Linked DNA regions of Danio rerio. The protein of the gene in region 1 purifies or fractionates together with the protein of each later gene. This does not show direct contact. Links are inferred from orthologs where the notes say so. Each region holds a gene or a part of one and is shown in the gene's direction. Other genes may lie near its edges. The genes, in order: klc2, kif5aa and kif5c.

Region 1 (4,207 bases):
GTCTGCATTAACACTTCGAAACGCTAGTTGGCAGTGAGGTGTAAATGTTCCTCTGTGTCAAGTTTCTTCGCTACTTTTTTGCACTTCCTGAACACTTCCTGAATGTACAAGTGGCTCAAACTCGCTCATTTTGAGGCAGGAACCGGCGGACGTGCAACAACTTTAACTATGAGGTAAACACAAAACAAAACTTTCCATCCGGAGCTCCTTCACGTTACTCCACACTTGTAAACAATCGCTCGCGCGGCTTCGCGCGGCTCTCGGTCCCGCCCAGACTCGTCAGCGCTACCAAGCCGACCAATCACAGAGCTCACGCTACGCGTCGTTGCAACGTGTAGATACATTTTTTTAGAGGTGCACGTCAGCGACGGCGATGGCCACGGCGAAGGGCTATGCGTCAGCGCCGTAGCATACGCCGGTGTTTGACGCAGAAGTATAAATCAGCCTTTAAGCCGAAAAGAAAATGAATGAATGAATGTTACAGTTTAAAAGTTAACTGTAGTTAGGCTTATGCACATTGAATTATTCGTTAACAAAGCGGTCTACTTTTTCTTGTACACTTTACTATAGTATGGTTCAAAAACACTATAGTGTTTACCATACTATTATTTATATGAAGGTGCTTTTCAATTAAAACAATTTTGGATTCCAAATACTGGTCAGACCAGTAACCACTGCAACCACTGTTTCAGAGCACACTAGCATATAGATATATTTAAAACTACTATATACTAATACTAACATCTAAAAAAATTTCTTTAATTTCATGGCACCTTTAAAAAGATAACTAAATGTGTTGGTAATGTAAAAATATGTGTGTAATGTTATTTTTGCGGCTGTTTTTTTAAGATTAAGATTTGCTTAAGATTGTAATATAGTACTTTTATAACGTTCACAAGCCATAAAGACCCACTCTGCGTTTATCGGGCACGCGCGCGCGCCCACCAAGCGCCGTCCACGCCCGGTTCTGGAGGGCGGGTGTAGTAACGTCAGCGCGCAGGGGGGGCAGGCTGTGGATTCTGGGAGCACAAACACACACATCAGCCATTTTTCAGTTTGCTGTGCTCATCCTTTCACTTCAACGCGAACATCCTCACAACGCAGAGCTGAAAGGGACGAGAAAAATGGACGAAGCGAAAGCGGGTCAGCAAACGCACGAGCGGCGGTTTTGCTAATAACAACAAACAAACGAACGCACCAAACACTCGATGGGACTCACACCGTTTACCTGCTAAATCGCCTTTGGGACCGAATCTGGACATCTCTGAATCCATTAAACCACATTAGAAGTTTGAACCCCATCCATAAAGCAGCTTATAAAAGGTATGCTCGTTTTTGTCATTGATTAGCGGCGATGCTAACCTGCAGTCAGTTTGAATGGAGCAAAGTTTAGCCCCCGGTCTGCTAAAAACAATAGCTGTTTGTTGTAATTGAATTGTGCTTAATGTTTAGCGTAAACGAGTATCTGTTACACTACACTTTGTTTAGACTGTTTTAAAGAGTTTTTGTTATACATTCGGTCGTTTATAATCGCCGTCATCCAGACAGTGATGATGCAGTGAATGTTGAATTAAACATTCATTTAGTTAAATAACGTCGCATGAGGATGTTCTGCATTTTGAGTGAGCTAAATTCACTGTATGTGTATGTTTATATTTTGGGTGTTTGTTAATGAGAGCAGGGCCTGCGTTTGTTTGCTGTGCTGGATGAGGGATGTTGTGGTGATGTTGCGGGTCACCTTGATGGATTTTTCCAGATTCCTCCTGAGTTTATCGGGCTGCTTTTAATAACTTTAGGGTGTAAATTGACCACGTGAGGCGTATGTTTGTGTTTGTGAGGTGGTCTGCTGTATTTTTGTGCTGGTGGTCTCGTGGTTTGGGGTGATTGTCTCCGCTGGTGCTGCATTGCAGTCAATAGGCGTGTTGACTGACGAAGAGCGCCTCTGCTGGACGCAGGTGGAAGTGCAGGTCAAATAAACTCATGACGACGACGGTGATGATGAAGTTGGTTTTATATTCACACATTATAACTTTTCCTTTTTTATAATTTCAGAAAACAATGATTTGCCAATTCTAAATAGTTAAATCATATTAGCAGTCAATGACTAGCAAAGTACAGCATTGTTTAAAGTCAAACAAACAGTGCTAATGCTGTTTTAAAGTCATACTTGCATGTGGTTTCATACTGAATATTCAAAGTACCATGGTAAACAATACAGGGAGTGTGTCTGAAGTTGTCACTGAATGAATGTGTGAATATAAAACCAACTTTACCTCAATTGATGATGTTAGCAATGTCATCATGTTACTGCAGTCATTTGTACATTGATTATATTGTTTTATCTTTATTTTATTAGCAAAATTTCATATACACAAACAGAAGTTTTAGTATTAGTAGTTTTAGTATTTATTTAGATTATTTTACTGTGAAATTGTTGAAAGCAAAAAATCTGAGATCATTATACTATTTATACTTATTATATTTTTTATTAACTGGTAATTCTTAAAATCATTGAATGTAAAGATTCTGAATATTTATACTTTGTGGATTTAAAAATATATATTTTTACAATTTTTATATTAGGTTTTTATGTTCACAATTTATATTGAGTTGTTGTATGTATGTTTCTGGTGGTTTGTGCAACAAAAACAAAGTGGAAAATATTGTATACATAAGTATTATATAGTTATATACATAGCCTTAACCCTTGTTGTCTCTGTTGGGGGTGTTTTCATCCACTCCAGGGTGACTTTGAGGCTTAATATTGCCACAACTTTTCAGCAAATGCAATGGCTTTTGGTGATGAATCTTATTTTGACACACATCTACTGTAAAAATGACACATTTTACCTCTTTTCAACAAGGAAAACAAGCATCAAGAAAGCATAAGGTGTCATGGCTTGCAATCAAAAAAATTGTTATAATGGAAGACAATAAAACAAAAACAGCCACCAAATAACAAAAGGGTTGTCAATTTGAACAATGCCCAAGGGTTAATTAGTATTTAGTATAATACACATACATGCATTACTGTATATAATTTTTTTTTAGCTTTCTTGAAATTATTTTTCAGATATCTTCTAACGAGTGATGCTTAACATAGAAATAATGTTTTAACATAATATTTTTTTAATAATAACTTTATGATGGCGATCTAGGATATTTTGCTAGTTATTTTGCAAGATACTTCGGAAAAATTCAAATGTTTTAGGGCGTAAAAATATTGATTTTAGCGGTTGTTACATTTTTATTTTTTGCTTTTTTTCCCAATTCCTGCAAAATAAAACAAATAAGACTTTACCCAGGAGACAAACATAATAATAATAATAACAATAATAATAAAAAAGGTCTTGCTTTGATTAAACATTACTTTTACAAATATTTAACAAATAATTATTTATTTTATTTATACAGGGACAATGTACAACATGACAAGCTAATTTACATCTTAATCACTTAATTAAAGTTTTACAGGCTAATCATTTTGTTGTTAAGACCTCATCTGTATGTTTTTGTTTATCTATGTGCACGGATGAACCGATATCATTTTTTTTTTACAAGCCGATACGAGTATGAATATTTAAATTTGTGTACTTGCTGAAACAGAGTACCGATTCTGATACTTGGATTTTGTTTTAATGAAAGTGCAATTATTTAAAAGGAGGTTTTATTTTTTGCCTGTAGCAAGGATGAACACAAAAATCTTTAACAAAAGGCAATTCCAAGCCAAAAATATACACACATTGTAAGATAACTTATCGATTACCGATTAAGCATGGATGTTTATAGGATAAGTTATCCTTGTGCTGACGTGTGTCAGCGATTTCACACATTACATAATCAAGTGTGTGCAGTTTACGTTACCTTATAGAGTCACTCTCTTGACATTGCATATTTGGGATGCATAAAACACTGTTATGTGCAGTTCTTCGCTTTATTCGCAAGTCCTGTCGTTAATCCGTTGGCCAGGTAATTGGGTGGTTCGCGTGTGGATAAGATCAACAGTTGGTTATGCAAACTTTAACTGCTTTCTCTAAAATATTTAGTTGTTTTAAGTGGTTTCATCTTGACAGACTGCCCTCAGTGTGCCCACATTGTGCGTGTGTGAGAGAGACTTGGCGCATCTCTCCATAGAACTCCATAAAAAAAATCTTAATCTGTTTTGCAAGGGCCTATCTAAAGGGTTAATGATGCCAACTGGCGATCA
Region 2 (3,660 bases), on another chromosome or scaffold:
GCCTCTCTTGAAAAATATTAAATTAGAAAATCTGCAGTGAACAGCAGCTGCATCCTCATTATATTCCAGTATAAGATGTGCTGCTTTTTATTGCTCATGTTGTGTTTCTAGAATACTCTAAAGGTTACTCGTGAAATGTTTCTCTCTATTTAACTACATTAAAAATGAAAGACGACTTCCTATATTGATCGATTGCGTCTCAGAGTGCTTGTATTCTTGCACACATGTTGAACTCGTGATATATAATAACTGTTTGCATTCGCCTGCACTAAAATAAATGACTCATTGGATGAACAAATGAAGTTGAACGCTACTAAATTGAATTTGTTTATTTAAATTCAGCCCTTATTAATAGTTTGCAGCTACTTACCTTAAAAAAAGTAGTAAATCCAATTCATTTTGTTTTCCAGTGTAAACTGATTTGCTGGAGTCAAAAGCACAGAGCGTGACGGTGAATAAAGCAATAGAGGATTCTGCTTATTCATCAATAAATCTATATTTTTAGGATTTGTGACGCGACAGCAGTCAGAAACAGGAGAAGGAAGCTGATTTACCAGAGAGAGCTCCAGTTCCAGTCATCCTGCTCATGATTCACCATCTGCAGGAGCATCTGATGACTCAATATATGATCTTTAGCTGGAAACTCTACACAGGCCCATAGCCTGTAGAACAGGGGGGTTCGGGTGATTAGAAAGACCATAATTTGTCCCTTGCATGGGTTAATTTGTCCTATTTTTACTGCTATGCCTTCATAAATAGTGAAAGTAATCAGTGGAAGAAGGCTATAAGACCAAGCAGAATCCTCTGTTGGCTGTCATGATCTCAGCTGATTAGTTTTGTTCAATGCTAAGAATTATTTCTTAGCACCAAAAGCAGCCCATATTAAATTAAATTTCCAGATATACTTTTGTACAGGAGAGGCAAGAAAAATCATGATGCTTTTCATCATCATGATTATTATTATTATTATTATTATTATTATTATTATTATTATTATTATCATTATTATTAATATTATTATTATTATTATTATTATTATTATTATTATTATTATCATTATCATTATCATTATTATCATTATTATTATCATTATTATTATTATTATTATTATTATTATTATTATTATCATTATTATTATTATCATTATCATTATTATTATTATTATCATTATTATCATCATCATTATTATTATTATTATTATTATAACTATTATTATTATCATTATTATTATTATTAGCATTATTACTATTATTATTATTATTATTATTATTATTATTATTATTATTACTATTATCATTATTATTATTATCATCATTATTATTAATATTATTATCATTATTATTATTATTATTATTATTATTATTATTATTATTATTATCATTATTATTATCATTATTATTATTATTATTATCATTATTATCATCATCATTATTATTATTATTATTATTATTATTATTATTATAACTATTATAATTATTATTATTATTATTATTATTATTATTATTACTTTTATCATTATTATTATTATCATCATCATTATTAATATTATTATCAATATTATTATTATTATTATCATCATTATTATTATTATCATTATTATTATCATTATTATTATTATTATTATTATTATCATTATTATTAATAGTATTATTAGCAATAGTAATAAAAGCAATATTGACTGGAGTAATAGTTTGTTTGAAACTACATACAATAAAAAAGCAGTTACCTAAAATGTCAATAAATATTTAAATATTTAACAATTTAACAATTTTTCTACATTTAATAAATGCCGCCTTGATCAACAGGATAATTTTCCTTAAAAAAAACCATGAAAATGGTAAAATTGAGCTCAAACTTTTGACCGGTAGTGTACATATCAAACATACAGTATGGCAACTTCAGATATTGTTCCTCTGCAAAGCAGCTCCAGTAAGCCTGATCAGTTTAGCCTGGTCTTCATCTCTGTGCTGTGATCTGTGGTTTAATCAATACCTGAGAGCGTACAATGACCTTTCTCTCTCCTTCTCTGTGTTTATGTGATTTAGGGAAAGTCCTATGCGTTCGACCGAGTGTTTCCCACCAACACCACTCAGGAGCAGGTCTACAACACCTGTGCCAAGCAGATCGTCAAAGGTCAGATATACGGCACACCTCAAACCTGAGTTACACTGATATACAGCTCCAGCTGTACTGATAACCTGATCATCAGGCCAGAGGAATCAGTTCTACACTTCAATATGATCCAATTTCCCATGTCACGCTAAACGAACAGTTCTACAAACGTCCTAAAACACAGAAGCAGCCTAATGTTAAAGACCTTTTATACTCCTTATACAAGCTGTGAATGCGTCTCTGCTGTGTCTAGAGTGTGTGTGTGTGTGTGTGTGTGTTTGAGCTGAGAACAGCACACAGATAATGTTCTCCAGCTCTCTGAAACTGCCCCTTTCAGGCTTTGATCCTAACCGTGGCGTTTTGGTGACTGTCGCTTTAAATGCAAATGAGATTGTGCTTTTTTCAGAAGAGGGCGGAGCTACAGACGCCTATAATAATATCATAAACAAAACTATTCTATGCTAATGAGATGGAGGGATGGGCACTAGTGGGCGGGGCTTTCCCTCTCTAATGACACGTACAAAGGGAGAATGTCAATCACAGTGTTTGTGCAGACTGTAGGTGCCGTTTAAAACAGGACGAACTCTAATGTGTTTAGTTTTAATGTTGAAAATCGTGATCAAGGACGCTTTATGGGGTGGAAAGATGGAAAATTTATGATTTGCTTTGGCCAAAAGCAGCCACCCAACTGCTAACTTGACAAATGTTGATTAATAATGCTCAGTAAACTAGATTTCAGTCATGTTTTCTGTCTGCACATTGTTTGTTCTGTGAAACACAATGGGCTCTTTGTGATTATTAGGTTGTTGTGTTGTTTTAATCATATGTGTGTGTGTAGATGTGCTGGGCGGCTACAACGGCACCATCTTTGCCTATGGACAAACCTCCTCTGGAAAGACTCACACCATGGAGGTACAGTACCGTCATTGACACCTTCACATTCGCTCACACTTGATTTTAAGATCTCTTGGAAGAGTAAAAAGGGTCACCGTGTAAACGGTGGAGACACAACTGACTCTCAAACCAAGGAGAGATGAGACATTATTCCCAGAACACACTCATCACTCATTCAGAGAATAAGCACAACACTTTCAGATCATGCGCCTGGTGCAACAACACTTTTTCCCCCTCTAAAAAAAAGCAGCGCCTTTAGACCATTACAATAGAGCCCTGAGAGTTAAAGACACCACTCGACTGCTTGTCTTCTGCTGATTGCACAGGAAACCGAAGTGAAAGTGCTACAGTGTGCAAATGGAGTGCGCCTCCAAAGCAAGAGCAAAACTAAGAGCAATAAATAAAGATATATAAGAACACAACAGGCGACCAGTTAGCATGCATACATTCAGTAAACTGGCACAAGTTAATACAACCGCAACACAATACAACACACAATACATTTACTTAATATATAAATGGATCAAATGCAACCCTGAACCCCAGAATGGGTTAATTTACTGTGTTTTCAGTCTTACTCTGCTTACCATGATAATAAGCGTTAAAGATTTACTCATCCATTAACATGATTTCTGCAGACCACAACTCCCATGA
Region 3 (3,660 bases), on another chromosome or scaffold:
AAAATGTAACGGCTCTATTTTAAATGGTTTGTAAGTTTCATTTTTTCACAGCTTTTTTTCTCATTTTAAGAATAGTGATATATAGATTTTTTTTGCAGATTATCTGTTTTAGTTTTCCTGTATACACTTTTTATTTTTGCCCCTATATTAACTGATTAAAGATTGTTACATTTACAAAAAGGTTTTTTAATGTTCTATTCCATTAATATAAGTTCTTAAGCACAATAATCTAAACATTGTTTTTTTGTGTTTTATGTTTTTTTCTTCCTGTGTCCAGCATCAAGCAAAGATCAAATCCCTCACAGACTACATGCAGAACATGGAACAGAAGAAGAGACAGCTGGAGGAAAGCCATGATTCACTGACAGAGGAACTCGCTAAACTCCATGCAGAAGGTCTTTGTGGTTTAAAATCTTGCTAAATCTGTCACAAAAAAAATGTGGTAATGTGAAAATGAAAAACAAGCACACTTAAAAGTAAGTTTGAACACAGCTATGGATAAACTTAGGAGACCAATTGAAAATAATCTACATTTATAGCAACAAAAATGCCTTTCATAAAAGTTTACAGACATTTTATATTCATTTTTACACAACAAAATGCCAATGTTTTAGCTTTAAAAGAGTTAAGAAATCAATATTTGGAGGAATAAACCTCATTTTCAATCACAACAAATAAAAACATTTTTTTTAAAAAGATTGCTTTAATCGACAATACCATCATTTGAAATTAGAAAGATATTTTACTCAACCCCATACCAAATAAATCCATTAAATCCAGAGGAACTGAACATTTTTAATTGGTTATATAATTTTTCCATGTCTGTAGATTTAAAAATATTCAGAAATCTTTGCCATCATTTTGGTTGTTACAGAAAGGATGCATGAGGTTTCAGTCCTGGATAAGGAGAAGGAACACATGAGCAGAATGCAGGATGCTGAAGAAATGAAGGTGAAAAACACAAACACTGCCTCTGAAACCTCAAGCTACTATGTCCATAAGAAATAGACATCTAAACATACACATCTTGGCTAAAACAAGGCTAAATTTGGGCTCTCTGTAAAAATATAACAGATGCCTTAGAGTAGCCCAAAGCGATTTTTACCGACAGCTCAATATTCACCTTTTTTTTTAACCACTAAGTTAACATTTATACATCTATAAGACTTATTTTGAACACAAAAAATGCTTTCAGGGCAAGTACATGCCATTATCGTATCTGAATTTTTTACACAACATTTTGACAACACAAACACTCTTCTGGGCCTCATTTGCAGCTACATTCTTTAAGGGTCAAAGTAGATGTTGTTTGCTGGAAGAGTTGGCATTTTACTAATGTGTTACAAACCTATGCAGGGGATTGACAAATCATTTCAGGCAATTCAGAATCAATAACTCAATTTATTGTGCAATTTGATCTTTAAACCATCATATGTACACTTTAAATGTAATAACATACATGATAAATGTTCAAATAAATAATAGTATATATAAATCTGTGTGTCTGCATATAGAAAGCCCTGGAGCAGCAGATGGAAAGCCACAGAGAGACTCATCAGAAGCAGCTTTCACGTCTGCGGGATGAGATCGAGGAGAAACAGAGGATACTAGATGAGCTAAAGGAGTAAGTGCTTTTTAGTTTAAAACACAATATTAATTTTGAACATTCACTTTTGGGAAAATCTGCTCATGCCTGGCCTTAATCAAAATAAACCAAGACCCATTAAAACGGTTTGATGCATTCAGTATTTTTTGCCATGTGATGACAGTGTGAACCAGGCTCTTGAACTTGAACAGAAGAAGCTCATGTCTGACTACGAGAAGCTCCAACAGGAGGACCAGAAGAAGGACGAAAGGCTACAGAAGCTTCTGTGAGTTCACTGCTCATTAAAACATTATCTAAATCATCTGCTAATGAAGATTAAAGGTATAGTTAATTCAAAAAATGGATATTTATTCACCCTTCACCTCAAACCTTGAGAATTTCTTTCTTTTGTTGAACACAAAAGAAGATGTTTTGAAAAATGTTGTAAACCAGTAGCCAATGACTTCCATAGTAATTGTTTATTCTACTATGTAAATAGTTACTGGTTTCCAACATTTTGTGTTCAGCAGGAAAAAGAGGAAGGTTTGGAAGCATCTGAGGGTGGGCGAGCTGTCCCTTTACAGATAGATTTTAAATTTAAGCAGCTACAGTATGTGCAACTCCTAAAAACCTTTCTAATCGCATAATTATTGTTGTTTTAATCAGCTTTTTGAATGAGAAGAAGGAGCAAGCTAAAGAAGATCTGAAGGGTCTGGAGGAGACTGTGGTGAGCAAGATTACTTTACACAGCACATGATTTTTACTTCACCTAGAGTTTATCTCATAGCTATGCATAGATTTTGTTCTTATTGAAAGTCAGTTTTAGATAACTGATCATTCAGTTCTCTCTTCTACAAGGCCAAAGAGCTCCAGACTCTCCATGACCTGCGTAAACTGTTCATCCAAGATATCAATAATCGCATTGGCCGAGTGAGTATCCAAAACAGCGGCTGTTCTATTTTTTATATGTACTTTTTTGATTATTATTTTTTTTTTTGGCACCGGCACCATTTTGGCCATTTTGCTTCCTTAAAGAGAAGTCATTGTTTACCCACCCTTTACTTGTTACAAACCTGTTTGATTTTCTTTATTCTGTTGAACACAAAAGATGATGATGTCTTGACGAATGCTGGAAACCTGTAACTACTGATTTCCATAGTAGTTTTTCCTACTGTGGATGTGAGTGGTTACAGGTTTTCATCCTTTCTATCTCTTCAATGCTTAAATATTGTTTTAATGCTATCTTTAAAATTAGACAATATCCTGAATATGCATATTATTACATTTTATCTACTACATTTCTATCATTTAAATTTTAATATAATTAAAGGCTGTTTTATTAAATTATATTTATTTATTATATATTTATAATTATTTTTTTTCATTTCAATTTTGTCTATATCATGATGTTTCTTTTATATAAAATGAATAACTTGTTAAATATTCCTGATTTACAAAATATTTTATTGCTAAAATATGAAATTATTATTTGACTATTCTTTTATTGTTTTACTAATTATAATAATTATGTTGTATTTTTACTCTAGTGTCTTGCCTTAAAATAGTTCAACTACATACAGTTTAACTTATGGTGGAAAAGTTTGAAGTTTAATCTGTTTTTAAACTTTGAAGTTTAAAGTTTTTTTTTCTGTTTTGTAGAGTGTTGAATTGGACACTGATGAATCAGGTGGAAGTCTGGCACAAAAACAGAAAATAATTTTCCTGGAAAACAACCTGGAACAACTCACAAAAGTCCACAAGCAGGTTTCTGAGTTTTTTTTTTATACTTTTCACTAACAAATTATTGATACATTGATATAATATAATATAATATAATATAATATAATATAATATAATATAATATAACATAACATAACATAACATAACATAACATAACATAATATAATATAATATAATATAACATAACATAATATAATAATAATAATAATATAATATAATATAATATAATATAATATAATATAATATAATATAATATAATATACATTCATCCATAGCTGGTACATGACAATGCAGACCTAAGATGTGAGCTGCCCAAACTGGAGAAGCGCCTGCGT

Evidence for each region.
Region 2: the proteins of klc2 (region 1) and kif5aa purify together in Homo sapiens (affinity purification with western blotting; 3 studies listed by BioGRID and IntAct, with this or other methods). This does not show direct contact. The link is inferred for Danio rerio from reciprocal best matches to the Homo sapiens genes KLC2 and KIF5A.
Region 3: the proteins of klc2 (region 1) and kif5c purify together in Homo sapiens (affinity purification with western blotting; 3 studies listed by BioGRID and IntAct, with this or other methods). This does not show direct contact. The link is inferred for Danio rerio from reciprocal best matches to the Homo sapiens genes KLC2 and KIF5C.

The regions. Positions count from the first base shown.
Region 1 is NC_133182.1:6,694,962-6,699,168, forward strand, and holds the start of klc2 (kinesin light chain 2), read left to right. Parts: upstream 1-1,268; 5' UTR 1,269-1,323; intron 1,324-4,207. UniProt on the Homo sapiens protein: Kinesin is a microtubule-associated force-producing protein that plays a role in organelle transport. The light chain functions in coupling of cargo to the heavy chain or in the modulation of its ATPase activity.
Region 2 is NC_133184.1:246,305-249,964, reverse strand, and holds part of kif5aa (kinesin family member 5Aa), read left to right. Parts: intron 1-2,045; coding exon 2,046-2,133; intron 2,134-2,950; coding exon 2,951-3,024; intron 3,025-3,660. UniProt on the Homo sapiens protein: Microtubule-dependent motor required for slow axonal transport of neurofilament proteins (NFH, NFM and NFL). Can induce formation of neurite-like membrane protrusions in non-neuronal cells in a ZFYVE27-dependent manner.
Region 3 is NC_133184.1:24,804,273-24,807,932, reverse strand, and holds part of kif5c (kinesin heavy chain), read left to right. Parts: intron 1-277; coding exon 278-395; intron 396-874; coding exon 875-951; intron 952-1,514; coding exon 1,515-1,624; intron 1,625-1,769; coding exon 1,770-1,871; intron 1,872-2,251; coding exon 2,252-2,312; intron 2,313-2,443; coding exon 2,444-2,515; intron 2,516-3,244; coding exon 3,245-3,349; intron 3,350-3,600; coding exon 3,601-3,660. UniProt on the Homo sapiens protein: Microtubule-associated force-producing protein that may play a role in organelle transport. Has ATPase activity. Involved in synaptic transmission. Mediates dendritic trafficking of mRNAs.